4 linked regions of the Saccharomyces cerevisiae S288C genome follow. The gene in region 4 interacts genetically with the main gene of each other region. Each region holds a gene or a part of one and is shown on either strand. Other genes may lie near its edges.

The links.
Region 1: of FOB1 (region 4) and PHO12, changing one suppresses a phenotype caused by changing the other (phenotypic suppression), as found in Saccharomyces cerevisiae (one study listed by BioGRID).
Region 2: of FOB1 (region 4) and PHO5, changing one suppresses a phenotype caused by changing the other (phenotypic suppression), as found in Saccharomyces cerevisiae (one study listed by BioGRID).
Region 3: of FOB1 (region 4) and AAT1, changing one suppresses a phenotype caused by changing the other (phenotypic suppression), as found in Saccharomyces cerevisiae (one study listed by BioGRID).

Annotation. Positions count from the first base shown.
Region 1 is NC_001140.6:549,485-554,179, forward strand, and holds PHO12 (acid phosphatase PHO12), read left to right. Parts: upstream 1-2,614; coding exon 2,615-4,018; downstream 4,019-4,695. Other genes in the region: YHR214C-D (uncharacterized protein), read right to left, coding at 1,164-1,457; YHR214C-E (uncharacterized protein), read right to left, coding at 1,716-2,015.
Region 2 is NC_001134.8:428,168-432,610, reverse strand, and holds PHO5 (acid phosphatase PHO5), read left to right. Parts: upstream 1-1,659; coding exon 1,660-3,063; downstream 3,064-4,443. Other genes in the region: PBY1 (putative tubulin tyrosine ligase), read right to left, coding at 1-575; acid phosphatase PHO3, read left to right, coding at 3,510-4,443. UniProt on the Saccharomyces cerevisiae protein: Partially mediates extracellular nucleotide derived phosphate hydrolysis along with NPP1 and NPP2.
Region 3 is NC_001143.9:235,402-239,787, forward strand, and holds AAT1 (aspartate transaminase AAT1), read left to right. Parts: upstream 1-2,134; coding exon 2,135-3,490; downstream 3,491-4,386. Other genes in the region: SLD2 (Sld2p), read left to right, coding at 1-386; YKL107W (putative short-chain dehydrogenase/reductase), read left to right, coding at 740-1,669; YKL106C-A (uncharacterized protein), read right to left, coding at 1,746-1,865; SEG2 (Seg2p), read right to left, coding at 3,784-4,386. UniProt on the Saccharomyces cerevisiae protein: Plays a key role in amino acid metabolism. Important for metabolite exchange between mitochondria and cytosol.
Region 4 is NC_001136.10:674,273-679,182, reverse strand, and holds FOB1 (replication fork barrier binding protein FOB1), read right to left. Parts: upstream 3,082-4,910; coding exon 1,381-3,081; downstream 1-1,380. Other genes in the region: alanine transaminase ALT2, read left to right, coding at 1-942; YDR109C (putative phosphotransferase), read left to right, coding at 3,516-4,910.

The sequences.
Region 1 (4,695 bases), on a different chromosome or scaffold from region 4:
TATCCTATTACATTATCAATCCTTGCACTTCAGCTTCCTCTAACCTCGATGACAGCTTCTCATAACTTATGTCATCATCTTAACACCGTATATGATAATATATTGATAATATAACTATTAGTTGATAGACGATAGTGGATTTTTATTCCAACAAAACGTCAGTGTAAACATTCAAGTGATTTTAACTTTACGCGGTTGAAGAATGCTGTGTTCGAACTATAAAGCGTCAGAAAAGATGGTTTAGCGAAGGCACCATTATGAAGATAGACACATTCTTCTTTTTTTTTTTTTTTTTTTTTTTTTTTTTTTTTTTTTCATTTACTTTTATTTCTCGCGGTCGGTAAATTTTTCGTGGGTTTCTTTGAATCTATTAGCCGACATAAGAATAATGCATAAATAATATTTTTAATGTCTTCCTATGCCCAAAAGAAGAAGTCTTGAAGTTGCCGCACATGGAAATCACATGACCATGGCTTGGCCCTTCGTTTTAAATGCAACATGCAATATGGAATGTGTCATGAATACTATCAGCAGGAACAGAAAGCGTCGTTTTGTTTCTGCAAATGCTGTAGTTTTGGGCCGAAAATAGATGTAGTAGAATATATAGTGAAACGTGATGTACAAAAGAAAAAGGTAGTTTAAAAAAAATTAGATAACTTGGATTTTTACCCTGAATATTGCATGTGATTCGTAAAGAACTGAGTTACCTCAAACGGACCTCCCTTTTCATTTCGTATTCCGCGAATCATGAAGTCATGCAATTACCTCTGAAGAGCTGACTGTCCCAAAAGAAGCTATCGAATCTGTCCTTGATTTATTTAAGCCTTGCGTTTCGAGAAAGTGAAAACCAATTGAATACAAAATAAAAAAAAAAGAAGAAAGAAATAGCAGGTCTAAGATATATAAGAAAGTTAATATCATTTTTGAACATTTTATTTTAGACGCCTTCAGCCGCGCGACGCCCGGAGTAATCATATGCCCATGACTTTACCAAAAGGCAACAGGGAGGAACATGCATTAATGTGAAGCATCACTGCTGCAATTCTCGGTGTTGCTAATAATTCATGGATCGAGAAAGAGACATAACATTTAGGCCAATTTTTTGAATAAATATGAACTCAGCTAAGACTCGACAATACAATTTTCTTATACTAAACGTAGATTTATAAAATAAACACAACTGTAAGGGCAATGCAACCGTAGATGCATATATCATTTATAGAAATTATATCCAACAGAAAGCTCAGACTTATATCCGGTTTAAGAGAGAAATTCTTGCTCATATTACCCCAAGACCAGGTGGCGTGTTGAAGTTTATAACATATAAGAACTACTACCTCATGAATTCTAGTGGATGAAAGAAGCAGCACGAACACCATTTCTACAGACAACGACACATGGAAAGGTTCACCATTCCCAAAGAAAACAACGATGGCCACAAGGGTGTGGTCCTCCATTCTCCTACTGTTGGAAGGAGATATTATCCGACCGACTGTTTTGTGATATGGCAAACTATTTTTTTAAATGAGCAAAATTACTTCTTTTGGCTGGAAATGTCATTAGAAAGTGCCCAAGTGACATTTAGCTAAACTCGGGTATTGTCTACAAGACCGGTGCTGTGACCGTTTCCAATACGGAAAGAAACGGTACTGGGAGCAGGAGTTGCTTTTACAGATATGAACAATGCCAATAGAGCCGCACATGTAATTACTGGTTCACACTCGTGGGGCCCACACGATTCCTGTGCAAAGTTTGACAAGAGGATGGAGTTTCACGTAAATGCTGCCAAAGGTGATGCGGTTTTGTTTTTGGGCAGCCTCTACCATGTTGCAAGTGCGAACCATACTGTGGCCACATAGATTACAAAAAAAGTCCAGGATATCTTGCAAACCTAGCTTGTTTTGTAAACGACATTGAAAAAAGCGTATTAAGGTGAGAAAATCAAGATTATCTAAGCCGATGAAAAATGAAAGGTATGATTTCAGCCACAAATATATAGTAGTTATTTTATACATCAAGATGAGAAAATAAAGGGATTTTTTCGTTCTTTTATCATTTTCTCTTTCTCACTTCCGACTACTTCTTATATCTACTTTCATCGTTTCATTCATCGTGGGTGTCTAATAAAGTTTTAATGACAGAGATAACCTTGATAAGCTTTTTCTTATACGCTGTGTCACGTATTTATTAAATTACCACGTTTTCGCATAACATTCTGTAGTTCATGTGTACTAAAAAAAAAAAAAAAAAAAGGAAATAGGAAGGAAAGAGTAAAAAGTTAATAGAAAACAGAACACATCCCTAAACGAAGCCGCACAATCTTGGCGTTCACACGTGGGTTTAAAAAGGCAAATTACACAGAATTTCAGACCCTGTTTACCGGAGAGATTCCATATTCCGCACGTCACATTGCCAAATTGGTCATCTCACCAGATATGTTATACCCGTTTTGGAATGAGCATAAACAGCGTCGAATTGCCAAGTAAAACGTATATAAGCTCTTACATTTCGATAGATTCAAGCTCAGTTTCGCCTTGGTTGTAAAGTAGGAAGAAGAAGAAGAAGAAGAGGAACAACAACAGCAAAGAGAGCAAGAACATCATCAGAAATACCAATGTTGAAGTCAGCCGTTTATTCAATTTTAGCCGCTTCTTTGGTTAATGCAGGTACCATACCCCTCGGAAAGTTATCTGACATTGACAAAATCGGAACTCAAACGGAAATTTTCCCATTTTTGGGTGGTTCTGGGCCATACTACTCTTTCCCTGGTGATTATGGTATTTCTCGTGATTTGCCGGAAAGTTGTGAAATGAAGCAAGTGCAAATGGTTGGTAGACACGGTGAAAGATACCCCACTGTCAGCAAAGCCAAAAGTATCATGACAACGTGGTACAAATTGAGTAACTATACCGGTCAATTCAGCGGAGCATTGTCTTTCTTGAACGATGACTACGAATTTTTCATTCGTGACACCAAAAACCTAGAAATGGAAACCACACTTGCCAATTCGGTCAATGTTTTGAACCCATATACCGGTGAGATGAATGCTAAGAGACACGCTCGTGATTTCTTGGCGCAATATGGCTACATGGTCGAAAACCAAACCAGTTTTGCCGTTTTTACGTCTAACTCGAACAGATGTCATGATACTGCCCAGTATTTCATTGACGGTTTGGGTGATAAATTCAACATATCCTTGCAAACCATCAGTGAAGCCGAGTCTGCTGGTGCCAATACTCTGAGTGCCCACCATTCGTGTCCTGCTTGGGACGATGATGTCAACGATGACATTTTGAAAAAATATGATACCAAATATTTGAGTGGTATTGCCAAGAGATTAAACAAGGAAAACAAGGGTTTGAATCTGACTTCAAGTGATGCAAACACTTTTTTTGCATGGTGTGCATATGAAATAAACGCTAGAGGTTACAGTGACATCTGTAACATCTTCACCAAAGATGAATTGGTCCGTTTCTCCTACGGCCAAGACTTGGAAACTTATTATCAAACGGGACCAGGCTATGACGTCGTCAGATCCGTCGGTGCCAACTTGTTCAACGCTTCAGTGAAACTACTAAAGGAAAGTGAGGTCCAGGACCAAAAGGTTTGGTTGAGTTTCACCCACGATACCGATATTCTGAACTATTTGACCACTATCGGCATAATCGATGACCAAAATAACTTGACCGCCGAACATGTTCCATTCATGGAAAACACTTTCCACAGATCCTGGTACGTTCCACAAGGTGCTCGTGTTTACACTGAAAAGTTCCAGTGTTCCAATGACACCTATGTTAGATACGTCATCAACGATGCTGTCGTTCCAATTGAAACCTGTTCTACTGGTCCAGGGTTCTCTTGTGAAATAAATGACTTCTACGGCTATGCTGAAAAGAGAGTAGCCGGTACTGACTTCCTAAAGGTCTGTAACGTCAGCAGCGTCAGTAACTCTACTGAATTGACCTTTTTCTGGGACTGGAATACCAAGCACTACAACGACACTTTATTAAAACAGTAAATAGACCTAATATGATTTATGTAATTTTAGAAACTAAATATGAATGCTAATTTTTTTCTTATTTTGACTTTTGCTTGCGAGAAGTACCAAGTTGGAACAACAAACACAGTCCAAAGAGGGAAATACAAAGGCACAGTACGCAATTACTTTATTATTCTTTAGCAAGACGAAGATAGTATGAATATACGTGTAAGGCATATGCAAAGCCATGATTTTATACCATAGACATGACATGCGGGTTACATGAGGTGGTAAAATGTTTTAAGATAGCGTCCAGGGCAAGTACATGAAATGTCGTTTAGAGATGATGCAAGAGTAGGGTTATGATGTGAAAGAATAGGGCAATTAATTAACAGAGCGGATGTTGTAGGATGATATAGTGACACATAATATATAAATGATCGGTTGAGCGCGATATTATATAAGAACATCCATATGAGTATATATCCTACCGTGTCTGTTCTCTACAGTGCTTCTTTTATTCAAAATTATTGGTTTTCGTAACCGCCGCGCAGGCACGCCGCGCATCTCTTTTTCTCGAAGAAAGCGGAAAAATAAAAACGAAAAAATAAAAAAAAAAAAAAGTATAAATAGTGAAGACTTTTTCCATTTGATATTTGGTAAAAATTTCGGCTGGAAGTTTTTTGCTGAACATTTAACCGGAGAATCTTGGTGGC
Region 2 (4,443 bases), on a different chromosome or scaffold from region 4:
GATCTCTTAGAGGCCTTCTCCATTAAAAGTGGGGAGACGTTTTTCAATCCATTAAAATAGGCCCAAGAAATAGCAATGGCCTTTGTATTTCCAGTAATAACAGATTCCATTGCGCCTCCTACGGTACCAGAAGAGGTAATATAAGCAGCAGATGTATTTCTACCAACATTTGGACCCGACAGTACTAGATCAAACGGTTCATTAGACAATAGGTGCAGCCCGATGTTTGCGCACGATGCTGGAGTTCCATCGATTAATATCCACTCAATTGTATCTTTCGGAATTTCAGCATTGAGAACATAAGGTAATTTAGAGTTTTCTGACCTAATTTGTGGCTGGATAAATGGGCCCCAAAAAGTATTGTCTTCAGCGTCAACTTTAGAATATATGAATTGAGCTGTCAAATTTTTACCAGCAAGATGAGCCTTACCCACCCATGATTTCTGGACATGAGGTACACAAACCGTGATTTTCCATTCAGGATAATTTCTTTTAATGTGCTGAATAAAAGGTCTAATGTATGGTGAAAACTGATCACTTAAGGGACCATCATCGTTAGTTATTAAAACCCGCATCTTAAAAGAAATATTTATTGTTTCCGAATTTTTAATGTCAGAGATCAAGTCAGAGCGGCTGCCTTTACCGTAATTTTCAATTGCTAAATACAATGTTCCTTGGTTATCCCATCGCCAATAATTTTTATTTTTACCACTGTTGAAGAAGCGAAAGAAAAAAAAAGGGAAAATCAAAACATTCCCTGTGCACTAATAGAAGAAAACAAGAGACTCCGTCCCTCTTTAGTGAGAAAATTGACCAGAGATGGTTTTTGTCCATCTTTTCGCAAAAAATTAGTTCTATTTTTTACACATCGGACTGATAAGTTACTACTGCACATTGGCATTAGCTAGGAGGGCATCCAAGTAATAATTGCGAGAAACGTGACCCAACTTTGTTGTAGGTCCGCTCCTTCTAATAATCGCTTGTATCTCTACATATGTTCTATTTACTGACCGAAAGTAGCTCGCTACAATAATAATGTTGACCTGATGTCAGTCCCCACGCTAATAGCGGCGTGTCGCACGCTCTCTTTACAGGACGCCGGAGACCGGCATTACAAGGATCCGAAAGTTGTATTCAACAAGAATGCGCAAATATGTCAACGTATTTGGAAGTCATCTTATGTGCGCTGCTTTAATGTTTTCTCATGTAAGCGGACGTCGTCTATAAACTTCAAACGAAGGTAAAAGGTTCATAGCGCTTTTTCTTTGTCTGCACAAAGAAATATATATTAAATTAGCACGTTTTCGCATAGAACGCAACTGCACAATGCCAAAAAAAGTAAAAGTGATTAAAAGAGTTAATTGAATAGGCAATCTCTAAATGAATCGATACAACCTTGGCACTCACACGTGGGACTAGCACAGACTAAATTTATGATTCTGGTCCCTGTTTTCGAAGAGATCGCACATGCCAAATTATCAAATTGGTCACCTTACTTGGCAAGGCATATACCCATTTGGGATAAGGGTAAACATCTTTGAATTGTCGAAATGAAACGTATATAAGCGCTGATGTTTTGCTAAGTCGAGGTTAGTATGGCTTCATCTCTCATGAGAATAAGAACAACAACAAATAGAGCAAGCAAATTCGAGATTACCAATGTTTAAATCTGTTGTTTATTCAATTTTAGCCGCTTCTTTGGCCAATGCAGGTACCATTCCCTTAGGCAAACTAGCCGATGTCGACAAGATTGGTACCCAAAAAGATATCTTCCCATTTTTGGGTGGTGCCGGACCATACTACTCTTTCCCTGGCGACTATGGTATTTCTCGTGATTTGCCTGAAGGTTGTGAAATGAAGCAACTGCAAATGGTTGGTAGACATGGTGAAAGATACCCTACTGTCAGTCTGGCTAAGACTATCAAGAGTACATGGTATAAGTTGAGCAATTACACTCGTCAATTCAACGGCTCATTGTCATTCTTGAACGATGATTACGAGTTTTTCATCCGTGATGACGATGATTTGGAAATGGAAACCACTTTTGCCAACTCGGACGATGTTTTGAACCCATACACTGGTGAAATGAACGCCAAGAGACATGCTCGTGACTTCTTGGCTCAATACGGTTACATGGTCGAAAACCAAACCAGTTTCGCCGTTTTTACCTCTAATTCTAAGAGATGTCATGACACTGCTCAATATTTCATTGATGGTTTAGGTGACCAATTCAACATCACCTTGCAGACTGTCAGTGAAGCTGAATCCGCTGGTGCCAACACTTTGAGTGCTTGTAACTCATGTCCTGCTTGGGACTACGATGCCAATGATGACATTGTAAATGAATACGACACAACCTACTTGGATGACATTGCCAAGAGATTGAACAAGGAAAACAAGGGTTTGAACTTGACCTCAACTGACGCTAGTACTTTATTCTCGTGGTGTGCATTTGAAGTGAACGCTAAAGGTTACAGTGATGTCTGTGATATTTTCACCAAGGATGAATTAGTCCATTACTCCTACTACCAAGACTTGCACACTTATTACCATGAGGGTCCAGGTTACGACATTATCAAGTCTGTCGGTTCCAACTTGTTCAATGCCTCAGTCAAATTATTAAAGCAAAGTGAGATTCAAGACCAAAAGGTTTGGTTGAGTTTTACCCACGATACCGATATCCTAAACTTTTTGACCACCGCTGGTATAATTGACGACAAAAACAACTTAACTGCCGAATACGTTCCATTCATGGGCAACACTTTCCACAGATCCTGGTACGTTCCTCAAGGTGCTCGTGTCTACACCGAAAAATTCCAATGTTCTAACGACACCTACGTCAGATACGTCATTAACGATGCTGTTGTTCCAATTGAAACCTGTTCCACTGGTCCAGGGTTCTCTTGTGAAATCAATGACTTCTACGACTATGCTGAAAAGAGAGTAGCCGGTACTGACTTCCTAAAGGTCTGTAACGTCAGCAGCGTCAGTAACTCTACTGAATTGACCTTCTACTGGGACTGGAACACTACTCATTACAACGCCAGTCTATTGAGACAATAGTTTTGTATAACTAAATAATATTGGAAACTAAATACGAATACCCAAATTTTTTATCTAAATTTTGCCGAAAGATTAAAATCTGCAGAGATATCCGAAACAGGTAAATGGATGTTTCAATCCCTGTAGTCAGTCAGGAACCCATATTATATTACAGTATTAGTCGCCGCTTAGGCACGCCTTTAATTAGCAAAATCAAACCTTAAGTGCATATGCCGTATAAGGGAAACTCAAAGAACTGGCATCGCAAAAATGAAAAAAAGGAAGAGTGAAAAAAAAAAAATTCAAAAGAAATTTACTAAATAATACCAGTTTGGGAAATAGTAAACAGCTTTGAGTAGTCCTATGCAACATATATAAGTGCTTAAATTTGCTGGATGGAAGTCAATTATGCCTTGATTATCATAAAAAAAATACTACAGTAAAGAAAGGGCCATTCCAAATTACCTATGTTTAAGTCTGTTGTTTATTCGGTTCTAGCCGCTGCTTTAGTTAATGCAGGTACAATTCCCCTCGGAGAGTTAGCCGATGTTGCCAAAATTGGCACTCAGGAAGACATATTCCCATTCCTGGGTGGTGCCGGGCCATACTTCTCTTTCCCTGGCGACTATGGTATTTCTCGTGACTTGCCTGAAGGTTGTGAAATGAAACAATTGCAAATGCTTGCCAGACATGGTGAAAGATACCCAACTTACAGTAAAGGTGCTACCATCATGAAAACATGGTATAAGTTGAGCAATTACACACGTCAATTCAACGGCTCATTGTCATTCTTGAACGATGATTACGAGTTTTTCATCCGTGATGACGATGATTTGGAAATGGAAACCACTTTTGCCAACTCAGACAATGTTTTGAATCCATACACTGGTGAGATGGATGCTAAGAGACATGCTCGTGAGTTTTTAGCGCAATATGGCTACATGTTCGAAAATCAAACCAGTTTCCCAATTTTCGCCGCTAGTTCTGAAAGGGTTCATGACACTGCTCAATATTTCATTGATGGTTTAGGTGACCAATTCAACATCTCCTTGCAGACTGTCAGTGAAGCCATGTCCGCCGGCGCAAACACTTTGAGTGCTGGTAATGCGTGCCCAGGATGGGATGAAGATGCTAACGATGACATTTTGGACAAATACGATACCACATACTTGGATGACATTGCCAAGAGATTAAACAAAGAAAACAAGGGTTTGAATTTGACCTCAAAGGACGCCAACACTTTGTTTGCATGGTGTGCATACGAATTGAACGCTAGAGGCTACAGTGATGTTTGTGATATCTTCACCGAAGATGAATTGGTACGTTACTCATACGGCCAGGACCTGGTATCGTTTTACCAGGATGGACCAGGTTATGATATGATCAGATCCGTCGGTGCCA
Region 3 (4,386 bases), on a different chromosome or scaffold from region 4:
TATTTCAAGAGGATGATGATAATGATGATAGCCAAGCAAGGGAAGATACCTTCATAAGAAAGAGACCCAAAAGAAGAAAGGTTATCAGAAGATTACGAGACAATGATCCAGAAACCGAGACCGCAGGTTTTGAGAGAGATGTCCATAAGGAGCTGGTGAAACTCAAAAGAAGGAAAGTGGCAGAATTTTTGGGATCCACCTCACAAATCTCTGATACTGAATTTGAACATGATCCGGAGGCAAGCAGCGGCGTTGTAAGCTCAGAGCAAAAGCCTACGGCTAAGCGAAAGGGTAGAAAGAAGTATAATCTAGTGAGCAATAACTTCAGAAGACTAAAACTGCCAAAGAAAAACCGATTCTCTAATGGACGATGGGGAAGAAGGTGAGCGTGATGGCGTAAATAATACAAACATTTGTAATTTATAGAAACCTATTAAGTATTCAGTTAGATTCCTTCAGCTGCATGACGTATAGTTTATATGGACATCATACGTATTTTTATCAATATAGAGACTAGCATGTTTTTACACTTTTTATTTTTGTTGTTCAATTAGGGGCCTCGTCCATATATGTATATATATTACATAATCTGCAATCATCAATTAGGGGAGGAATAATCGGCAGAGGTATAAATACAAAATTTAAAACAATTCAAGTGAATGAAAAGGTGAACCAACAAACAGAATATTACCACGTATCAAGGAAAAACTAATAATAGTATATTGGCGCATTTAGCAGGATGTTCTGGAAAAAGGATCCCACCGTCAGTTGGGAAAGAAAAAATATCAATGACATTGATTTTAGTCGTTTTAATGTGGCCATAATTGGTGGCACAGGTGGACTTGGACGTGCAATAAGTAGAGAGCTGGCCCAAAGAAATGCCAGGGTTACTGTTGTCGGGCAAACTTTTAGGGACGAGGACCTAAAAGATAAAATTAACTTTGTCAAGGCTGATTTAAGTTTAGTGTCAGAATGCAAGCGTATATCTCATAGTGATGAAATTCCCTACGAGGAGTTAACACATCTGATTTTCACTACGGGTATTTTTGCATCACGCCAGAGACAAGCTACAAGTGAGGGTTTGGAAAAAGACATGGCAGTGAGCTATTTGAGTAGATACATTATCTTCCATGATGTGGCGAAGCGATTAGGAATTAGTAGGACAAAAAAAGACGATTTGCCAAAAGTTTTCATAGCAGGGTTTCCAGGAAATGGTCAGGTGGGAGACCCAGATGACTTGAATTCTGATGAAAAGAAGTATAGTGCCTACGCTACACATATGAACACTGTGGCAGCCAATGAAAGTCTGGTCATAGACGCTAAAGACAGATACACGAATATAGATACTTTCGGTTTGAACCCTGGGCTGATCAAAACGAACATTCGTAATAATCTTCTTGGCAGTGACACCTACCTCAGCCGCATTACAGAATGGATAATCAGCTGGACCTGTCAAAGCGCAGAGACGTATGCGAAAACAATATGCACCCTGATTGCGAGCCCCGCTATCGAATCACGCAGTGGTACAATGTTCAGCAACAAAGGCGATGCTATTTTACCTTCGCCTGGTTTGACCAAAGATGTTGTTGAGAAGTTTATGGAAAATTCGGAACTTCTAGTTGAAAAGGCCTTGCGTAATCAAAGTCCTTTCACTTCCAGTAACGAATGACTTGCTGTAACTAATTGGTTTATATTTAAATATTTCACTTTTTAAAGGGCGTTTGCATGCGACCATCGTCGATGATTCATATTGTTCGGATGCGGAAGATGGCTTCCATGAGTTTTGCACGCCGTCTCATGTGATTGTTGGAGTCATAGCTCGCATATCTTCCTATTGTCAGATGTAATATCGACGGAAATGGCATCTTGGAGTATGGAAGCACTATTCTGCTTTGCTCCAATATTTAGGATGCCGCATTTTTCATATTTTTTTTTACATTTTTCGCTTACGTATATAAATTGCTAGCAAGTATTCGCTCTCTCTGTCTTGGTTATCTAATTGCTAACCGTCGCAATTGAAAAGAAAAAAAAAATACAGAATAGACGATAGCGGATTGAACGATAGCATACTATTGAGTGCGTTTTCCCTTCTCATTTGAAAATTACTATCCGTTTTTCACTGCCGAAAGACTTGATGTTGAGGACGAGGCTTACTAATTGCAGTCTATGGAGGCCCTACTACACGTCATCGCTTAGTAGAGTACCAAGAGCACCTCCAGATAAAGTCTTGGGGTTATCTGAACACTTCAAAAAGGTAAAAAATGTTAACAAAATTGACCTGACCGTAGGAATATATAAAGATGGTTGGGGCAAAGTGACGACGTTTCCCTCCGTTGCAAAAGCTCAAAAATTGATTGAATCTCATTTAGAGTTGAATAAGAATCTTTCATATTTACCAATAACAGGTTCCAAAGAATTTCAGGAAAACGTTATGAAATTTTTGTTCAAGGAATCATGTCCGCAGTTTGGGCCATTTTATTTAGCCCATGATAGAATCAGCTTTGTTCAGACTTTGAGTGGTACAGGCGCCCTAGCTGTAGCAGCTAAATTCTTGGCATTATTTATTTCAAGAGATATTTGGATACCTGACCCATCATGGGCAAATCATAAGAACATTTTTCAGAACAATGGTTTTGAAAATATTTACCGGTATTCCTATTATAAGGACGGTCAGATAGACATCGACGGATGGATTGAGCAATTGAAAACCTTTGCATATAACAACCAGCAAGAAAACAATAAGAACCCACCTTGCATAATCTTGCATGCGTGTTGTCACAACCCTACAGGTCTCGACCCAACTAAAGAGCAATGGGAAAAGATTATAGATACTATATATGAGCTAAAAATGGTACCCATTGTTGATATGGCTTATCAGGGTTTAGAGTCTGGTAACTTACTAAAGGACGCATATTTATTGAGGCTATGTCTCAATGTAAATAAATATCCAAATTGGAGTAACGGTATCTTTCTTTGTCAATCTTTTGCCAAGAACATGGGCCTTTATGGTGAACGAGTTGGTTCCTTAAGCGTTATCACGCCGGCAACTGCGAACAATGGAAAGTTCAACCCTCTACAACAGAAAAACTCATTGCAGCAAAATATTGACTCCCAATTAAAAAAGATTGTCAGAGGTATGTATTCTTCTCCACCAGGATACGGTTCTCGTGTGGTAAATGTAGTATTATCAGATTTCAAATTGAAACAGCAATGGTTCAAGGATGTTGATTTCATGGTTCAGAGATTGCATCACGTCAGACAGGAGATGTTTGACCGTCTAGGGTGGCCGGATCTTGTAAATTTCGCACAACAGCACGGTATGTTTTACTATACAAGGTTTAGTCCAAAGCAAGTCGAAATATTGAGAAACAATTACTTCGTCTATTTAACAGGTGATGGTAGATTGTCGCTTAGCGGAGTCAATGATTCGAACGTTGATTACTTATGTGAATCTCTTGAAGCAGTCTCGAAAATGGACAAACTCGCATAATTTTTTCACCTTACAGTTCACCTTTGTCTTTATTTTTTTATTACTTTTCCCTTCTCATTTTGCCACACAATAATTTATAGAATATAATAATTTTTTGTAATAATTAATAAACCTTTTTTTTATCTACTCTATATACACTTTTCAGATAACTAGATTGGATTAATTCGTGATCGAACTAGTTATTAAATTTTAAATGAAAAGAAAGCTAGCGCTAGCCAACTATTTTAATTACGGTGGCAGTGCATCATATCCTTACATTTCATTTTAGGTTTCCTATGTTTTCTTCTTTCAAATCATTTCCTGCCAAAAATTTTTTTCAGTTTCCTACCGAATTTACTGTGACCGTGACGGTCATGCGACTTATCTTTTATAGCTGCATCATCGTTATGAAGCTTGTGTATCTCTCCATTTTTATCAATGATAGTCACCGGAACGCTTAATGGTAAGGCTGTAGGCAGGTCAGGATTTGATGACTCCAAAGTGGCTGTTCCACCAGATATGTTCCTATTTGACAATTGGCTTTTATTTCCGAATAATGAAAACCGGTGGCCTTCTGTACCAGCTTCGCTTACGTCATTAGTGTTCATGGATGATGCAGTGTAAGGGGAAGAATCATCGTTGTTGCAGCTCTTTTTATTTGCTAATATTGGCATATCGTTTTCGTTGGTCTTATTTTTGAAGTTCGTCATGGGATTAACTATCTCTGTTTCGTTCGTGGTATGAGTAGAATGACTTGTTCTCCTTTTCAGCGGAGAGGGCAAACCAAAAGTCCATGATTTTCTTGAGACATGACCTCCTTTTTCCTTCTTTTCTTCCACATCCAGGTTCTCTGCTGCTGTGGCTGTAGCATTCTTTGTGATAAGTGGCTCTCTCAAAGACATGCTTCTAAATCCTAG
Region 4 (4,910 bases):
CCAATTCCGCAGTATCCGCTTTATACTGCATCCGCATCTCTTTTCAATGCACAAGTGCTGCCATACTACTTAGATGAGGAGTCAAATTGGTCTACAAACAGCGACGAAATTGAAAAAGTAGTGCAAGATGCTTTGAAAAAACAGATCAGACCATCTGTGCTGATAGTTATTAATCCAGGTAACCCAACCGGTGCAGTTCTTTCTGAAGAAACCATTGCCAGGATCTGTTTGATCGCTGCGAAATACGGCATTACAATCATTTCTGATGAGGTCTATCAAGAAAACATTTTCAACGATGTTAAATTTCATTCGATGAAGAAAGTCCTAAGAAAATTGCAGCATCTTTATCCAGGAAAATTCGATAACGTTCAGCTCGCCTCTTTACACTCCATTTCTAAAGGATTCATGGATGAGTGCGGCCAAAGAGGCGGTTACATGGAAATTATTGGGTTTTCTCAAGAAATAAGAGATGCTCTTTTCAAACTCATGTCTATATCCATATGTTCTGTTGTCACAGGACAAGCTGTGGTTGATTTAATGGTCAAACCACCCCAGCCTGGAGACGAGTCCTATGAACAAGATCATGACGAAAGGCTGAAAATTTTTCATGAAATGCGTACGAGAGCAAACTTATTGTACGAGACGTTTAAGGAACTAGAGGGTATCGAATGCCAAAAACCTCAGGGTGCAATGTATCTTTTCCCTAGGCTTGTTTTACCTAAGAAAGCTCTTTGTGAAAGCGAACGCCTTGGCATCGAACCTGATGAGTTCTATTGCACATCTTTGCTAGAATCTACAGGTATTTGTACTGTCCCAGGGTCTGGGTTCGGACAAAGACCCGGGACTTATCATGTGCGAACAACGTTTTTGGCTCCAGGGACTAAATGGATTCAAGACTGGAAAGAATTTCATCAAGATTTCTTCAGCAAGTATCGTAATTGAATGAAAAAAAAAAACTAATGATAATGGCTTTCTATTTGTTTTGCATCCATGGTGGGGGTGAAGTTTAAATTTGTAATAGTATACATGCATCATTCTTTACTAAGGGAAATAAGGAAAAGTATATATCTGCCTCTTGTAATATTGTTCAAGGAAATAAATTTTGGAGCATTCCTCTGCATCTATTGTTCAATTAAAAAAAAAAAAAAAAAAAAAAAAAAAAAAAAAAAGTAATTATTCATATAAAACCACCTTGCGGGCAAGATCATATTATCCAAGTTGATACTTATTTAAAAATATAAAAATTTTTTAACCGCGTACATTAAATACAGGGTCATATACAGGAAGAGCTTTCAACACCTTTTTGAATACTTTATATGCAATAGGTGCTTTTTTTTTTCACCTATGGTGACTCCTCCTTTCATTCTATCCTACATATTATTACAATTCCATTGATGTGCCAAAGTCTCTTGTTTGATCTCCATTACCCTGTTGGTCTAATTTCTGTCGTTTTGTTGACGGCGATTCCAGAGTTTGATAGTAGGAAGTTTCTGGTCTAGTTATTTCGACACTTTGATCTACTTGTGATGCACCGTCACTTTCTTTTTGATCCCCTTTTTCAGGCTCTTCTGTTCCCTGCATTGGGGCTGCCACGCCGGTGGACTCTATTCGGTCCTCATCGACATTATGAGGAGGCTTTTCTTCGGGAGTTAAGGTATTAGGTTCAAATTCGCCCTCTGAAGAATCATGTGCCAAATCATCATACTCATCGATATAGTTTTTTTCAGTTAGATCAAATTGTTTTTGCACTTCTTCTTCAAAGTTATCATTTCCTATATTGTTATTATGAAGAATTCCATTATTGTTACAGCTATTATCCGCTTCATTAGCAAGGGCAAAAGTATTGACATCTTCCAAATATATAAGACCTTTTCCACCTGCCATCTTGAACATATTACGGGAATATGTGTTTTCTATAACCCTTTCTCTCTTAGTCTCAAACTTGGCATTGTGACCTGGAACTTCACTAAGTAGTACTTGCACAGGTTTACGTTTCGTTCTCTTATTTCTCCTTCGGTTGAATCTGTAAGGGCCATATCTTAGGCACTTACCCCAATCGGCTAGACATTCCTTCTTATAACTATTTAGAGCATACTGAATGCACAGTATACCCCCAGTATGAAATCTCGCAGAACTCTTCAAACCCAAGCCAATACGGAGACCGTATTTTGATGCAATTTCTTCACAAATATCATAAAGATCATCTTTATCTAAAGTGCTTGATGTTACGAAAATTGGAACCCTAGCAAATGTTAAAAAAAGTGAGGAAACAACTGGGATAAGATGTTTGAATTTGGTACTCTTAAGTGGTAATAACCACATAAAACTAGAGCGATAGTCTCGGCATAAAAGGACATAAGAATATTTTCCCTCAATAGCTTCTCCATTGAAGGGTTCGAATACCTCAATATGTATCCTTTCCATTGGTAGTAGTTTATCGTACATGTCAGGACGTTTATATTCCTTCAATGGTTTAATTTTGCCCTTTTTATTACATTTTGAACAAAATTGCTGGACCCAATCGATGATGGCATGACTAATATTGGCAAAATGAGAAAATAAAAAGGAATGTAATGTTTTACCCCTAAGATGCTTATTCATCAAGTGTGTTGCCATCACCATGTCGTATACATGCTTTGGCTCACAGTATATTTTATCATTATTTCGGCCATCTCTAACATTTCCTTCATCATCAACATAATACTGTCTTTGCAAAAATAACAGCTTGTTTTCTGCCACTACACCATCGTATTTATCACTTATTTGTTGCAAGGTATCTGCAGTTAAAGATTTTGTTTTTATTAGTTCATATATTTTCTGCGTTAGTTGTCTTGTCAGAGATTCAAGAAAGATTGGTGTTTCTCTTTCTCCCCTTTCCAATAATTCTAAGTTCAAATAAGAGTCTACGTACTCAGTATATGATTCCCCCATAGAGGGAAGTATCAGTAGACGATCTTTTGAGGACTCTCTTGATTCCCCAGGTGACGTTGCCTTTCTTCTCTGCGATTTCCTCGTAACTGATTCTGATGGTACCGAGTCATCATCATCAAACAACACGTCATTGTAACGCGGTTTCGTCATTGTTATCCTCAGCACAAATTCACACTCACACAATCGTTAAATTGTTCTCCCCCCTGAAGGCTTAATTCAATGTCGTTAAAATGAATACATGCGATGAGGAATCACCTCGCAATTTTTTTTTCTTTTCAATATATCGCGAAAAAGAAAAAATATCAGTATTATCATGTAAATAATTATGGCTGACACCTCATATTGAATGTGGGGGTAAAGATACTCTGGGTTTCTTGTTTTGATATATATAAGCTCTTCCTGGAAACCTCGATCACAATGTTAGGTATGATGAAGAAATTGAACCTTTATAACACCCGTTTGACTAAATGCTACAGACCAGTATTAGTAAATGTGGAAAGCTGCACACCCAGACCGCTGAGTACAATGAAAAGATGTAAAGAGACGAAGGAACAAACATCTGCAAAGTACATTATTAAGGCTATATGAAAAGCAGGAAACGCCAAAACAATATGCAAAATGAAACACGGGAGCCAGCGGTATTGTCGTCACAGGAAACCTCGATTTCTCGCATTTCTCCACAAGATCCAGAAGCAAAATTCTACGTTGGTGTAGATGTCGGAACAGGCTCTGCAAGGGCATGTGTTATCGATCAATCTGGTAACATGTTGTCGCTAGCAGAAAAACCCATAAAAAGGGAACAATTGATATCCAATTTTATTACTCAGTCTTCAAGAGAAATCTGGAATGCAGTTTGCTATTGTGTTAGAACTGTTGTTGAAGAATCAGGAGTTGACCCTGAAAGAGTTCGTGGAATTGGTTTTGATGCGACTTGTTCCTTAGTAGTCGTATCCGCTACCAATTTTGAAGAAATTGCAGTTGGACCGGATTTTACCAATAATGACCAGAATATCATATTATGGATGGACCATAGGGCGATGAAGGAGACTGAAGAAATCAACTCATCTGGTGATAAATGTTTAAAATATGTGGGAGGGCAAATGTCTGTTGAAATGGAAATTCCGAAGATTAAGTGGTTGAAGAACAACTTAGAAGCTGGAATTTTTCAGGATTGTAAGTTTTTTGACCTTCCGGATTACTTGACTTTCAAAGCCACGGGAAAAGAGAATAGGTCATTTTGTTCTGCTGTTTGTAAGCAGGGATTTCTACCAGTGGGTGTCGAAGGTTCCGATATAGGCTGGTCCAAAGAATTCTTAAATTCAATTGGGCTTTCAGAGCTTACGAAGAATGATTTTGAAAGACTGGGTGGATCGTTAAGGGAAAAAAAAAACTTTCTGACCGCAGGTGAATGTATCAGCCCGTTAGATAAAAAGGCTGCCTGTCAATTAGGCTTGACAGAGCATTGTGTAGTAAGTTCAGGAATTATTGATGCATATGCAGGCTGGGTAGGGACGGTAGCCGCCAAGCCGGAATCAGCAGTAAAAGGTCTTGCCGAGACCGAAAATTATAAAAAGGATTTCAATGGTGCAATTGGCAGATTGGCAGCTGTTGCCGGTACGTCTACGTGTCATATTTTGTTATCAAAAAACCCTATATTTGTCCATGGCGTTTGGGGGCCTTATAGAGATGTCCTTGCAAGAGGCTTTTGGGCGGCAGAAGGCGGCCAAAGCTGTACAGGCGTTCTTTTAGATCATTTAATAACGACGCATCCAGCTTTCACTGAGCTATCCCATATGGCTAATTTGGCAGGTGTGTCGAAATTCGAATATTTAAACAAAATACTTGAAACCTTGGTCGAGAAGCGCAAAGTAAGATCTGTTATTTCTTTAGCTAAGCACTTGTTTTTTTATGGTGACTATCACGGTAATCGATCACCGATAGCAGATCCGAATATGCGCGCTTGTATTATAGGACAATCT